Linked DNA regions of Cricetulus griseus. The protein of the gene in region 3 interacts with the protein of the main gene of each other region in a pairwise test. Links are inferred from orthologs where the notes say so. Each region holds a gene or a part of one and is shown on either strand. Other genes may lie near its edges.

What was found.
Region 1: the proteins of Cep76 (region 3) and Dzip1l interact in binary tests that used the Homo sapiens proteins (3 or more experiments, as listed by UniProt). The link is inferred for Cricetulus griseus from reciprocal best matches to the Homo sapiens genes CEP76 and DZIP1L.
Region 2: the proteins of Cep76 (region 3) and Ttc21a interact in a two-hybrid assay, tested with the Homo sapiens proteins (2 studies listed by BioGRID). The two-hybrid records come from large-scale screens. The link is inferred for Cricetulus griseus from reciprocal best matches to the Homo sapiens genes CEP76 and TTC21A.
Region 4: the proteins of Cep76 (region 3) and Cabp5 interact in binary tests that used the Homo sapiens proteins (3 or more experiments, as listed by UniProt). The link is inferred for Cricetulus griseus from reciprocal best matches to the Homo sapiens genes CEP76 and CABP5.

Annotation. Positions count from the first base shown.
Region 1 is NC_048597.1:208,067,856-208,071,355, reverse strand, and holds the end of Dzip1l (zinc finger protein DZIP1L), read right to left. Parts: intron 3,494-3,500; coding exon 3,354-3,493; intron 1,681-3,353; coding exon 1,519-1,680; 3' UTR 321-1,518; downstream 1-320. UniProt on the Homo sapiens protein: Involved in primary cilium formation. Probably acts as a transition zone protein required for localization of PKD1/PC1 and PKD2/PC2 to the ciliary membrane.
Region 2 is NC_048597.1:227,045,489-227,048,988, reverse strand, and holds part of Ttc21a (tetratricopeptide repeat protein 21A), read right to left. Parts: intron 2,741-3,500; coding exon 2,611-2,740; intron 1,212-2,610; coding exon 1,054-1,211; intron 861-1,053; coding exon 645-860; intron 1-644. UniProt on the Homo sapiens protein: Intraflagellar transport (IFT)-associated protein required for spermatogenesis. Required for sperm flagellar formation and intraflagellar transport.
Region 3 is NC_048595.1:171,774,427-171,777,926, reverse strand, and holds part of Cep76 (centrosomal protein of 76 kDa), read right to left. Parts: intron 2,894-3,500; coding exon 2,708-2,893; intron 444-2,707; coding exon 346-443; intron 1-345. UniProt on the Homo sapiens protein: Centrosomal protein involved in regulation of centriole duplication. Required to limit centriole duplication to once per cell cycle by preventing centriole reduplication.
Region 4 is NC_048602.1:26,482,334-26,485,359, forward strand, and holds part of Cabp5 (calcium-binding protein 5), read right to left. Parts: intron 1,192-3,026; coding exon 1,082-1,191; intron 1-1,081. UniProt on the Homo sapiens protein: Inhibits calcium-dependent inactivation of L-type calcium channel and shifts voltage dependence of activation to more depolarized membrane potentials. Involved in the transmission of light signals.

The sequences.
Region 1 (3,500 bases), on a different chromosome or scaffold from region 3:
AGGCCCTAAACCCGCACTATTTAGATGGAAGCTGCTTTACTCCCTCGTTACCATCCTCAGTCCACAAAGCCTGAAAAAAAAAAAAAAACAATGAAGAACAACAGAGAGGTGCATACATCATTTTTTATTTAAATGCTCACTATAATAAATAAATGTTTTCACACTAAAAAAATAATCTCAGCCATGTGCCACCATGCACACCTTTAATCTCAGCACTCAGGAGACAGAGGCAAGCAGATCCACTGAGTTCAAGGCCAGCCTGCTCTATAGAGAGAGAGAGTTCCAGGACAGCCAGAACTACACAGAGAAACCCTGTCTGGAAAAAAAAAAAAAAACTATATATAAAAACCCAATGTCAGAACTGGTTTCAAAAGTTAAATTTGTGATTCTATGGGGACAAGAGGCTTTGGCCAAATTGTTCCTGCCCATGAACAAGCTCCACCAGGTGTCTGGGAACTTCTCCAAGGTCATCCTGGTCTTGGTTGAATGGTATCCTGGTTAGTTCTAAATATCAATGTGTCACAACTGAGAACTGTCCAAGAGCAGAGCTTCGGTGGAGTAAATGCTTTGAGGGCAATGTCTGTGAGGAACTGTCCCGACTGTCATGGATGTAGGGGAACCCGGCCCACTGTGAGCAGTTCCATCCCTAGGCAGGCGGTCCTGAACTGTATAAAAAAAGCTGAGTATACACAGCTGTGAGCCGGTTAGCAAGCAGTACCCACCATGGCTCCTGCTATGCTTCTTAGGCTCTGAAGTGAATTCCTTGGTCAGAGGTAATGCTGCGTGGTAATAGCAAGCAGGCCTACCTTCAGGTTCCAGCCTCTGCCTCCCTCAGTGATGGGCTGTGACCTGGAATTGTAAACCTATCAAAGCCTTTCCTCCTCTGTGTTGCTCTTGGACAGTGATTTACCACAGCAACAGGAATGAAATTAGGACAGGCAGCCTCTCCCATGCTCCCTAACACTTGACTGTCCAGCACTAGAATACGATGTTTGGCCTGGCAGCAAACACTTCACACCACCTGCCTCTGTCTGCACCCCAACTCTGTAGTGAAAGTCAAACACAGAGTAGAGAAACTGACTCAGGACCCATCTTCATGGTGACCTATAGATTACAAAAGGCTAGAGAGTCCAGCATGAAGTAGGTAACTGATAACTGACTCAGGACCCATCTCCATGGTGACCTGCAGATTACAAAAGACTTATAAACAGCAACTCCTTTAAGTCTGGGCTGGACATGGGAATCATGGAAGAAACACTTGGAGGTCCTGTTACAACCCTTCTCCCATTTACACAAGACACTGCTCCAGGACCCAGCCTTTTGGGATAGCAGCAGGACCCAGACCTCTGAGGTAGCAGTCCTTACAGAGAGAATGGGTAGAGGTCCTGTCTGTCTCCTGCTCTGCTCATGGCAAAGGCTTCTTGGCTGCTGGTGGGAGCAGGAGGCCTAACAGCCTCTTCCATTGGGGCAAGCCCAGCCAGGCAACAAGGCTAAGCCCTCTGGCAACCCTAGGCAGAATCACCAGCCAGGAACCCTGGGTCGCCCAGAGCTCCAAGGGCTGGCATCCAACTTTTCTGGGAGCTTTGAGTGTGACAAGGGCTTTGGCTTTCCTCTCTGGTCCAGGTCCTGGGAGAGATCTTCCAAGGACGAGATCTCCAAGTCACTCTCATCCTCAGAAAGCTGCAGAGGTAAAAGAGAAGAAAATAGATTTTGATAAATGCAGGAAGATGACAGCAGCATCCAAGATAGAAATGGTCCTGCCTTCCAAGCTCCTGGCCTCTGAAAACCTGCTCCAGAGACTCAGGGCCACAGTGATGGAAATAGGTCTGGTATCCTACTAAGAATCTCGGGGAGGTTTACAGGTAGATCTGGCTGCTCACGTTTGCATTTAAACCTGGGCAGTGTGCTTGTTCACAGCATCATGTATCTGCATTAGACTATTAGTGCTCACTCACAACAGAGAAGAGGGAGAGCTTGGAGATGTTTACATGCGCTCTGTGATGAGACTGAATCAGTAGGTAATAAAAAGGTAGATGGGGTAATATTATGTGCAGATTTTTCATTCCTCACATTGACAGAACTGGAAGCCCAGAGCCTTTAACTTTTGACACTCTTGACATGAATGCACCTTAGTCAAAAGAACCTTTCCTCACAGACTGGTGCTCAGAGCTACCTGGGAAACACTGAACTTGAGAGGAGATGGGGTCAACAGGATATCCTGGAATAGGTCTGAGCTGCAGCTAATGGTCAAACTAACATCTTCTGAGAGATCAGGCTCCATCTACACCACAGTAATAGCCAAGGCCAGGAGTTCCCATCCAGGGTTTGCAGCTCCTCTGCTGGCTGCCTGGGCTTTGACATATAACATTCCATGTATTTCATCCTGGCATGAAAAGAAGATACCATCCAGGGCCTAGACAGCACCTGTCTAATTTACACTATTTGGTGCTCTTTCTCAGTAGAGAACAGAAACTGGGGCTCTTTACATAAACTCCAAGAGAAGCCAAGCATACCATGTGATGAGAAAAGGTATGTAGGAGTGCTAATATAAAACACAAGTGAGGGGGTATGGGGACTGCTCAGTGACAGTGCCTGCTTGCCAGGTTCCATCAGCGGCACCAGAAAGTCAACTGCTCCCTGCTACTTCTGTTGCTAAGGCCAACAACCTCATCATCTCCAGATGGACCTCTTTGGTTGAAAGGAACCAAGTGCAAAGAGTTCTATACTTGCCTACCTTAGAAAATAGCAGAAAGTGGCAGTTGGTCCCTAATGGAGGGAGACAATGGCAAAAAGAGTCTGGCACTCATGTGAGTACCAAGTCTGCAAATCCCATGGCAGCTACAGCGTCAGGGAGGCCAGGCCACCAAGATAAGCAGTGAGTGGTGAGGCACCCGCCATCTTGAATAGTTGGAACACGGCTATCTACATTTCCCCATCTGATGTGCTGTGTGGCAACACTCCGATGGTGGCCGGTGCTTTATATCCTGCCCTCTGTTGAGGTCTTCTGTGAAGCAATTGCTGGGGAGGGGCCCAGTATGGAAGAGACAGTGTGGGAAAATAGCAGCCACAACAGGAGGCTCTCAGAGGCAGATTAGGAAACAAACCTCCTCAGAAAGTACTTACATAATGAACCAAAGGGCTTTTTAACATTAACATGGGCACAGAAAAAAAAAAATCCAAAGTGGTCATCTTTCCACATATATAGGGACAAAGGAGACAAAGTCACATGCAATGTCCTTCTGGGGACATGTCAAAGCTGATACTTGCTCAGTCTGTCCCCAATCTTCACCCCACAGCCCTCAAATTTGGATCTGTCTCTCTATGGGATGTAGGGTCATCTTCAAGTGTCCTACCTGAGACTTCCTTGCAGGTGTGGAAGACTTCTGAAGGGCAGTGTTGGGCCTTAAGAACACACTGACCCCTCCAGAGGGCTTCTTTACTGGCGTTTCAAGCTGCTTCTCGAGGTTTTTGACCATCGACTGCACCAGTGTTCCTGAAAG
Region 2 (3,500 bases), on a different chromosome or scaffold from region 3:
GGGCTTGTTGTCCTTCACCCAGCTCCCTTCCTGGTGCCTGACATACCGACTCGTGGCTTTAGGAATGACTGGCTATCTGCTGACTTTGGAAGGGGCAGCTCCTGGTTCTGCATAGACAGAGTATCCACCTCTGCTTGTTCCAGGACAGCCAGGGCTACGTAAAAGACTCCATCTCAACCAAAGCAAACCAACAAGCAAAAAGGGCTCAAATCATAGCCCAAGTGAAGTTGGGGCAAAATAAGAGCTGGGCTCCCAAGCTGATCTCCTGGGGGGCCTCCAGAGCTTTGCTCCCAGCCCAGGGGATGGGAGCAAAGCGTTTCTTTGTGGTGTGTCTGTGTTTGGTGTGTTGTGGTGTGTGTGTGTGTGTGTGTGTGTGTGTGTGTGTGTGTGTGTGTGTTCCCATTGGGGGGAGGAGGCAAGTGTGTGTAGATGCACACTCATGTTTGCATGAGGAGAGAAGATGTTGACACTGGGTATCTCTCTCAGTTGTTCTCCACTCTACTCATCGAGGCAGGCCTCTCTCACTGAACCTAATACTCAGATGTATTGTAGGTTCTGGCGTTTCGAACTCTAGTCCTGATGCTCTCACAGCAAGCTCTTTATTCACTGACCTAATTTCCAGCCCCATGCCAGGCATTTCTCACCAGCTCCCCATTCAGTCGGAGGGCCTCTACTAGCTCCAGCAGGATTGACGCCCGCTCGCTGGGCTGAACGGAAGGGCCTCGGGGCTTCCTGCTGTCTTCTGCCTTTATGGTGGGTAGCTTTATGATCATTTTCAAGGTCTTTATGGCCTCAGCATATTCACCAGTCTTGTTGAGGGCCTTGGCTTTGATGAAGTGGTAGAGGGGGTGGTCTCGGACCTAAGAGAGGCAGAGCAGAGCTGGGGGTGAGCTCACAGCCTGGGGAGCTTCTCCCGGGGGGCCAATGAGGCTGCCCTGCCTGTGGGTTAGCAAAGGGTGGGGGGGGTTTCCTATGCCTTTTTGTGCTCCCCCTGCCCCAGCAATGGTCTGGAAAGGAGTATGGGATGGACCACACAGTGTAGACGGCTCCCACCTGGAAGTTGTGGCTGACACCCAGCTCTAGACAATGGGAACACATGGCAAAGTTGCCCTGAGCCAGGTAGATCTGGGACATGAGGAGGTGGGCGTCTACAAAGTTGGGGTCCAGCTCCAGGCAGCGCTGCAGGGTGCTCTGGGCATTCTCCAGCTCCCCTAGGAACACAAAAGCAAAGTCTATATCCAGGGGTCTTCAGGAGCCCCCAGACCCAACGAGTAAGGGAGAATGGATTTCACACGTTGTACAGAAATCTCCATAAAATGTTGGCATTTTGTCCAGTTTTAAAGTGTGTGTGTGTGTGTGTGTGTGTGCCTGTGCGTGCGCGTGCATACGAGAAAGAGAGAGAAAGTATGATGTGTGCATGAGTATGTGCATACCAGATGATACCCAGTGTCATTCCTCAGGGACCATTCACCTTGTGTAGAGACAGAGTCAGTCTCTCTGGCTTGGAGCTCACTCACCACATAGGCTAAGCTGGCCAGCCAGCCAGCCCTGGGGTTCCACCTGTCCCTGTCTGTCACTCTGGCACTAGGATTACAAGCATGGGATCAAACTTAGGTCCTGGAGCTTGCAAAGAAAGCACTTTAATGTCTGAGCTCTTGCTCTGCCTTGCAACACCTGCTAAAGTCTGAATAGACTTATGTCTTCATTTAAACCCAAGGCATTGGAGGCCTGAACCTCCTGACATGAGGAGACTTGGGGGCCTCTCCGAACCCAGGCAGGCAGTCCTGGTTTGATAGTGGCACTTAATGCTAGGGTGCAGAGGGCTGGGAGGGGCACTTCCTCCTTCTGTAGCCAGGCCTCTCCATAGCTGTTGCCAGCACCCTGAGGTTGGGATACATCTCTTTTGGGTCCCAAACTCCCTCATCTTTTCTTGTATTCTGCGAAAAGGAAGAAGTCACCATGGCAACCTAACCCCCTGGAGACCTAGCTTTAGTCCTTACCCTGCTGGTAGCTACCAGTGCCTCTGGGGCAGTCCTTCCTCCCTGGCCTTGAACCCAGGAGACCTGAAAATTATGAGTGAACTTGGCACAGAGGAGCCTTGAGGATAAAGACTTAGGAGCCCTCAGATGAGTGAAGGCCCTCAGTGTAGAGCCAACTAGAGGCATGAAAACAGTCTGTTCTGCAGCAAGAAGATTGGTGCTTCAGGGGAGGGCTGTGCCTCAGAGAGAGCACCTGGGTAGCCATGGAATGTTCTCTCTCTCTCTCTCTCTCTCTCTCTCTCTCTCTCTCTCTCTCTCTCTTTCTCTCTCCCCCTCCCCCGGGTGCCTGAACTGTGACATGGGAGGGAGGAACTGGCAGGCCTGGCTGTGGCCTCGGTGAAAGCCTCACGATCCAGGACCTCGTGGACACACTCTTCCTATATCACACGTCCTTGCAGTTCCTCCACATGGTGTTCTGTGCATGTCCATATGTATGCAGGGGTGTGTGTGTGTGTGTGTGTGTGTGTGTGTGTGTGTGTGTGTGAGACAGGAAAAGGATCCCAGGCAAGGATCCGTGGATATAGCCTAGGGCAGAAGCTCCACCAGGTGTTTGCTAGGATTTGCTGCTCACCTGAGAGAAACTTGACCTGAGCTGTCACAAACAGTGGGTCCAACATGCCCGGGGCCACCTTCACCACAGGACTCAAGATCATAGAGACTTGTTTGAGAAGCGGAGACAGGAGCTGGCCAGGTGACCGAGGCTGTGGGAACATCAGGGGCTAAAATGTGTGTTTTGCATTTTTTCTTCTCCTACCTCCTCCTCTTCCTAGTCCACCCCACCCCCACCCCAGACAGGGTCCCCTGACGGCCTCAGATTCCCTATGCAGCCAAGGATGATCTTGAACTTTTTTTTTTTTAATTTTAATTTAACTTTATTTGATGTGCATTAGTGTGAGGGTGTCAGATCCCCTGGAACTGGAGACAGTTGTGAGCTGCCATGTGGGTGCTGGGAATTCACACACACACACACACACACACACACACACACACACACACACACACACACACGCCGTCCTCTGGAAGAGCAGCCAGTGATCTTAGCAGCAGAGCCGTCTCTCCAGCTCAGATCTTGAACTTCTAACCCTCCTTCCTCTACCTCCTGAGTGCTGGGATTACAGCTCGTGTCAGGATATGGACGGGGCATGGCCTCTGTGCTGCCCACCCAAATACGGTCCCTGTACCACAGCTTCAGAAAGGCCTGGGAGCTGGTGAAAGCAAGGACGCTTTGAGTTGCACCTAGGACATCCAGCTCTGACCCAGGACAGCCTCTGAGGTGGTCAGGCTTCAGCCTGCTCCAATTTGGAAAGCCCTGGGGCTGGGGCAGCACCTGTAACTGGGTGTGGGGGCAAACACCTGTAATCCCAGCTCCCAGGCGGGAGGACCAGGAGTTCAAAGGTCATCCCTGGCTATGTAGGAAGTGAGAGACTAACCTGGGCTACAGGAGACCCTGTCTCAAAAACA
Region 3 (3,500 bases):
ATCACCCACCCCCAATGCACACAAAACACATGCAAATGCAATAAAGCCTTTTAAAATATCACCCCATGTTGCTACTCCAATGCCCTTCCACTTTGTGACACCCCCCCACATACACACATTCCAGTCCTGGAGTTTGCTAAAAGCCAGGGCCTTGTACATGCTTAGCAAGCACTACCACTAACTGTATCACCAGTCCCAGCTTAATAGTTCTTTCCCCATCCCTTTGGTTAATTCTTTTAGTACAAATCTAAACAGCAATGTTATTGTTTTTTCTAAAAAGACAATACTTTCTAGGGTAAATATTTCCTACAACTAAAGCAATGTACAAAAGAAAAACTGGCTTACCTGTGTGTTCACTACTTCTTGAGACAGTGTTTGGTTGAGTGGTGGGTACATCTCAAGTTTTATATTTAAAATTCCCACAGAAACTTTTGATTCTGTTCCTATAAATACAAATATTTAAAACTCTACTTAAACCTTATTTAAAACAAAGAACTTTCAGGACTATGTGTATTTAGTCAACCAAAGTCTAACCAACATAATTTAGGAGTGATGTACTTTATGACTTAAGTAGAGTTATAATACTCAACATTACACTTAATATTCATATTAAAAATGAATCAAACTTTTTAAAATGAACCAAATCAAATTGATTTTTTTCTTTGTTACTAAAGCTTTCTAAAAACATTTTAAGGAACTTTTCTGACCTTGTGGATTTAGAATTCTTAAATTTATATCTTTAATATAATATATAATTTAATGTATATAATTCCAACTAGATGCTACATTAAGTACAAAACCAAAGCAATTGTTAAGAGCCCATTCTGTCTCCATGAAAATCAGAAAGTATCCCAACTTTTTACCATATGCAGTAATTCCATCTACCCTTTCTTATCAAGTTTTCAACTATATATGATCTATATATACAACATACAAACATATATGTATATAAAACTATTCAATATTTCTTAACCAAATCGGTATATACTTATTTCCAGGTCATTGTTATGATTATCATGTTAGACCTATTTGCATCTATCTATCCATCCATCCGTCTGTCTGTCTATCTGTCTATGCACCTAAAGCATGCAGTGTCCTTGGAGGCCAGATCCCCAGGGACTGCAGTTAACGAACAGTCAGCAGTCAGCCACTATATGGGTGCTCTAGAAAAGCAGCCAGTGTTCTCAACCATTCAGCCATCTCTCCAGGCCCAGGTCTATTTTTGAAGACAAAGAACCAGAAATCACTTTAAAAAACAAATCTCATGTGTAAAGAGAATACTAGTTCTTTTTATTTAAGTACAGACATATTTTGAGTCTGACTTAAATTCTGAATGCTTTGCTGTCAACTGACCAAATTTAGCTTTTTTTCTTTTTCTTTGTATGAGTGCATGCACATTATGTAAATGGCTTTGCCCATTCACAAGAGTGTGGAGACCAGAGGCTGATGTGGGGCCACTTCCACTATTGCTCTCAGCCTTAGCTTTTAAGACAAAAGTCTCTCACTGACCTGGAGCTCACCAATTAGCTAGATTGGCTGGGCAGTGAGATCCCAGGATCTGCATGTCTCTACCGCCATCAAGACCTGGGATTACAGATGCATGCCACCATGCCCAGCTTTTTTTGTGGGTGCTGGAGAGACAAACTCAGTTCCTTCTACTTGTGTATCATCTTACCCACTGAGCCATCATGCTATCCCCAAGTTTAACTTGTATGAATAAGTTGTAATACCAATACAATTACATTATAAGTTATAGATAAAACATTAGTGGGTTTTTGTTTTCCTCTTTTTATGAGCTAATACATATTACATAGTAGGCAGTATGCAAAATCCAAGGAAATAATGGTAAGATAATGTACAACCTCTGTCCTTTACTATTCATTGCTACTGACACTGACCAAGTTAGCAACTCTTTCAAATTTTACCTATCCATAATAACGAACTAGAGGAACATCTACTCATTCGTCAATAACCACTGGTATGAAGCTGGCACGGTGGTACATGCCAATAATCCTAGCATGAGGCAGGCCAACTGTTCTGTAGAGGGAACTCAAGGACATCCCAAAATACACTGTGAGATTCTGGCCATAACCAACAAAACAAACAAAAAACCCATAACCCACCCCCTCCAAGAACCAGTGTGGTGACGACGGTGATGTGCTGTACTCTAGGACATACCAGAAAGAAGCTTATGCATACACCTATTCATATGTTTAAAAGAATCCTGCTTTTCTTTATAACCTTATATTTAACAACAACAACAACAAAATGTTGAACCTCCAGAATTTCCATTCATTTTGCAGACAAAAAACATTCTTTGGAGCTGGAGAGATGGTTCAGAGTAAAAGCACACTTCCAGAGGTCCTGAGTTCAATTCCCAGCAACCCAATGGTGGCTCACAGCTATCTATAATGAGATCTGATGCCCTCTTCTGGCATGTAGGCATACATGCAGGCAGAACACTGTATACATAATAAATAAATAAATCTTAAAAAAAAAAAAAATTCCTCAGGATAAGAAAGACTGACTTTGAAGAACTATGGTGGCATTATTCTTCCAGCTATTCCCTAAGCCAACTTACCACTGAAATTCTGATGAAAGCCTGTTTTACAAGTCTCCCTCCTGTAAAGCCCTTTTGACTGATATAAAATAAATTTGCCAACAAACAGTATTTATAAAAAGGTGAAAGTGACATTAATCATCATACCTACACCCATAAGTTCCACAGTCAGATTGGTCACTCCATTTTCTGAGCCCAAAACTGATCTCCATTCCAGAAAATAGGATGCCACTAAAGTAGTCTCACCAAATATGTCTATTTTGATCAGCACCATGTGAATTGGATCACTTATGGATAACATTGTTGTTGAATCAGCCATTCTAGTCCCATCACCTAACAACACAAACCGAAGAAAAAACACACTATATTACGTATTACTTAGTAACACAGAATCATTTTACAAGCTGAGGATATAGCTAAGTGGTAGTGACTGCCTAGCATGCCCGAGGCCTTGGATTCCATACCCAGCACCACACGCACATATGTGTACATATAAGAGAACTGGGGTGTATACACACACACACACACACACACACACACACACACACACACACACACACACTTTTATTGAAAAGTATTCTAAATAAGCTTACATATGATGGAAATAATTTAGTAAGGTCTCTCAAAGTATGCCAGAATCTGGGGGAAGAATATCACCCCATTCTATGACTGACAACTGCCAGGACTAGCAGAATAAGATGAATTATTTAGAAGTTACTTAGTTATGTTACTTACAGTAGTCAGTACTTTCTGATCCATAAAAAGTCTAATCTTCAAAAGAACTTATATTATGTACTATTACAAAAGAAAAGGCCATCAGCTAAATGAGTTAGCACACACCTTAAATCCAAGCACTCTGGAAGTAGAGGAGGGAGGGTCTGTGAGTGCAAGGCTAGTCAGAGCTACATAGTGAGACCCACCTCAAAACTCCACATACACA
Region 4 (3,026 bases), on a different chromosome or scaffold from region 3:
TGGCACTCGCTCTGGAGACCAGGCTGGCCTCGAACTCACAGAGATCCGCCTGCCTCTGCCTCCCGAGTGCTGGGATTAAAGGCGTGCGCCACCAACGCCCGGCCATAACAATAATTTTAATTATGACATTTGTAAGAAGGTGGGCAGTACTGGAAACCATTGTATTAAACAAAATAAGCCAAATGCAGAAAGACAAAAAAGTCAGATGTTCTCTCTTCTACATGGAACATAGATTTAAATTTGAGTATGTATGTGTATGCATGGGTATTTCATGAAACTAGAAAGCTGACAATGAGAGGGAAAGAGGAGAATTTAAGGGAAGAAGAAAGAGAGAAGGGGATAACAGAATACATGTGACATGAAAGCCAAAGAGGGACCAAGGCCTTGCATACATTAAAGCACTATTCTACTGCAAAACCATGCCCCTTGCTGGAGGATTCTAGGCAGGGGCTCTACCACTGAGCAACGCCCCCAGCCCCTCACTGGGGGATTCTGGGCAGGGGCTCCACCACTGAGCCACGCCCCCAGCCCCTCACTGGGGGATTCTAGGCAGGGGCTCTACCACTGAGCCACGCCCCCAGCCCCTCACTGGGAGATTCTAGGCAAGTACTAGGCCACTGAGCCACACCCCCAGCCCCTGGAGAGCTTGTCCATTTCTTGTTATGTCCAGCAAACATCTTCCTATCCTACAGCCTCTGTACTGGAAGCTTCCTTTCCTAGAACAACTCTGAGCTTCTGGAAATATCAAATTCTCAGATTCTTGCTTCCTGTTGCAGGAACCAAGATTACAGGCCCCAGCATGTAGGGAACATGGGGTACTAGATATCATTTGCAACCCTTGCTCCTTAGTTTCTTCATATGTACAAAGGCAATAAATGTGTGCTTACTCTTAAGAGTTTACGTCAGGGTCAAATAAGATGAATACATATTGCCAAGTGTTTGGAATATGATTCTCCTGCCTTCTGAATCTAATCCCAACTAGTCGATTTTGATGGGGCAATGCCCATGGTGTGAACTAATAAAACTAGCTCCTTGAGGTCTCCCTCTCCTCTCTCTCAGCATTACGGAGTTATTAACTCACCTCCTTAAAGGCATCTCGCATCTCCTGGACACCAATCATCCCTGCTGTCTCTGCAAGCAATTTGGGGGTCATCAGCTCCACAAAGTCTTCGAAGTCTACACGGCCACCAACTGAGGAAGAAGGAACCACGGTTGGCAAGGATTCCCCAGGCTCTGAACTTCTAACCCCACACTTTCCATTCAAGCTAGAAATAGATCAGTTGCCATCTTTCTACATGCTAAGAATTTTTAGTCTCTTCCTCTTCTCAGCCAAGTCAAGTCCTCAGGTTGCTCTAACGTGAACGAACTTATTAGACAAAGGACATAGGTATAACTGGGTGATCTTCAGCAAATCTCTTCCATTTTCGTCATTTTCAACTCTCTGTGTGTACGTGTATGTGTGCACATGAGTGCAGTGCCCACAGAGGCCAGAAGTGGGCATCAGATTCTCCTGCAGGTGGAGCTACAGATGGCTATGGGCTGCCCAACATGGGTGATGGGATCTGAACTCAGGGCCTCTGCAAGAGCAGTAGACACTCTTAACCACAGAGTCATCTGTCCAGACCCACTCGCAAATCTCTTACTGGGTTAAGGCTTAGTCATACTCCACCTATAGATCAGTAGAAGAAATATGGACTTAAATGTGGACCAGTCTCTTTCAGGAAAGATGATAGTCGTCCCTTTGCATCCCCTGAAAACTGGTACTAGGACATCCATGGTATATCAAAGCATGTTGATGCTCAAGTCCCTATCATAAGTGTCATAATATATGTATACTGCAATCTCTCATATGCTCTAGTCACCTCTAGATTATACTTTATCTGCTACACTGAGATGCTCTGTGAATAGCAGCTCTGCTGAATTGTTTGGGAAGCAGGGAGAGACGGAAAGTCGGTATGTGTTCAGTGCAGATACAGCTCCTTTCTAAATATTTTCTGTTGGCACTTGCTTGAACCTGCAGATATGGAAACAGAAGATGGGGTCCTAATTACTATTGTGACATGGAATTCAACTTTGTTATTTCAGATCCACGACCAGGAGCCAACCTAATTCTGGATTCAATCACAAGATCAACTTTTGTTTCCATTTAATGATGCATTCCTGAGCAATGCAACTAAGTGACATGGGATCCAACACCAAGTGTGTGTTCAACCATCAAGGTCAACATCAAGCTACTCTACTGATAAGAGCCTACATCCAATAAGGACTCATTGGGGGATATGACCTCTCACACAGTGGCACCCTTTCTATAACACAATGAACAAATAAGGCACGATCATCTTTACTTGATAGATCTGGAAACTGAAAACCAGGAATATTCCAGACATATTCCACTGTTCAAAATGACCACAAGGAGTAAGTAATGAAAGTGGAACTCATGGGCCAGGGAGATGGCTTAGCAAATGAAAAGTATTTTCTGTCCAGGTTGATGACATTGAGTTTGATCCCCAGGACCCACAAGGTGAAATGAGAGAGCTGACTCCTGCAAATTGTCCTCTGTGACATTCGCATACACTCCCTCCTCCATCAAATATATAAATTCAGTTTTAAAATTTAAAGCTGGACAGGCTTAGATATTATTCCACAGAGGACCTGGGTTTAGTTTCTAGAACCTACATAGCAGCTCATGACTGTGTGTAACCCCAGTTCCAGGGAATCTGGTACCTTCTTCTGGCTTCTGCAGGTGCCAAGCACATACTTGGTGCACAGACATACACACAGGCAAAAGTTCATACTCATGATTTTTTTTAATCTTTAACAGTTTTAATAATAAAAGGTGCGACTAGTGTCTAGATCCATCTTTAAAAGTCCTCTTTCTAACTACTTCTAATGCAGTACAGCTGCCTTCTGCCAGACAGCTCTTTCCCCTTAACCAATTTACTACTTAATGTGCTACTCTCGACCCGAACACCTTTCTCACTCCCACCCTGTCCTAATTCTGGCATGTCCCCAACCCCTGTCCTCAC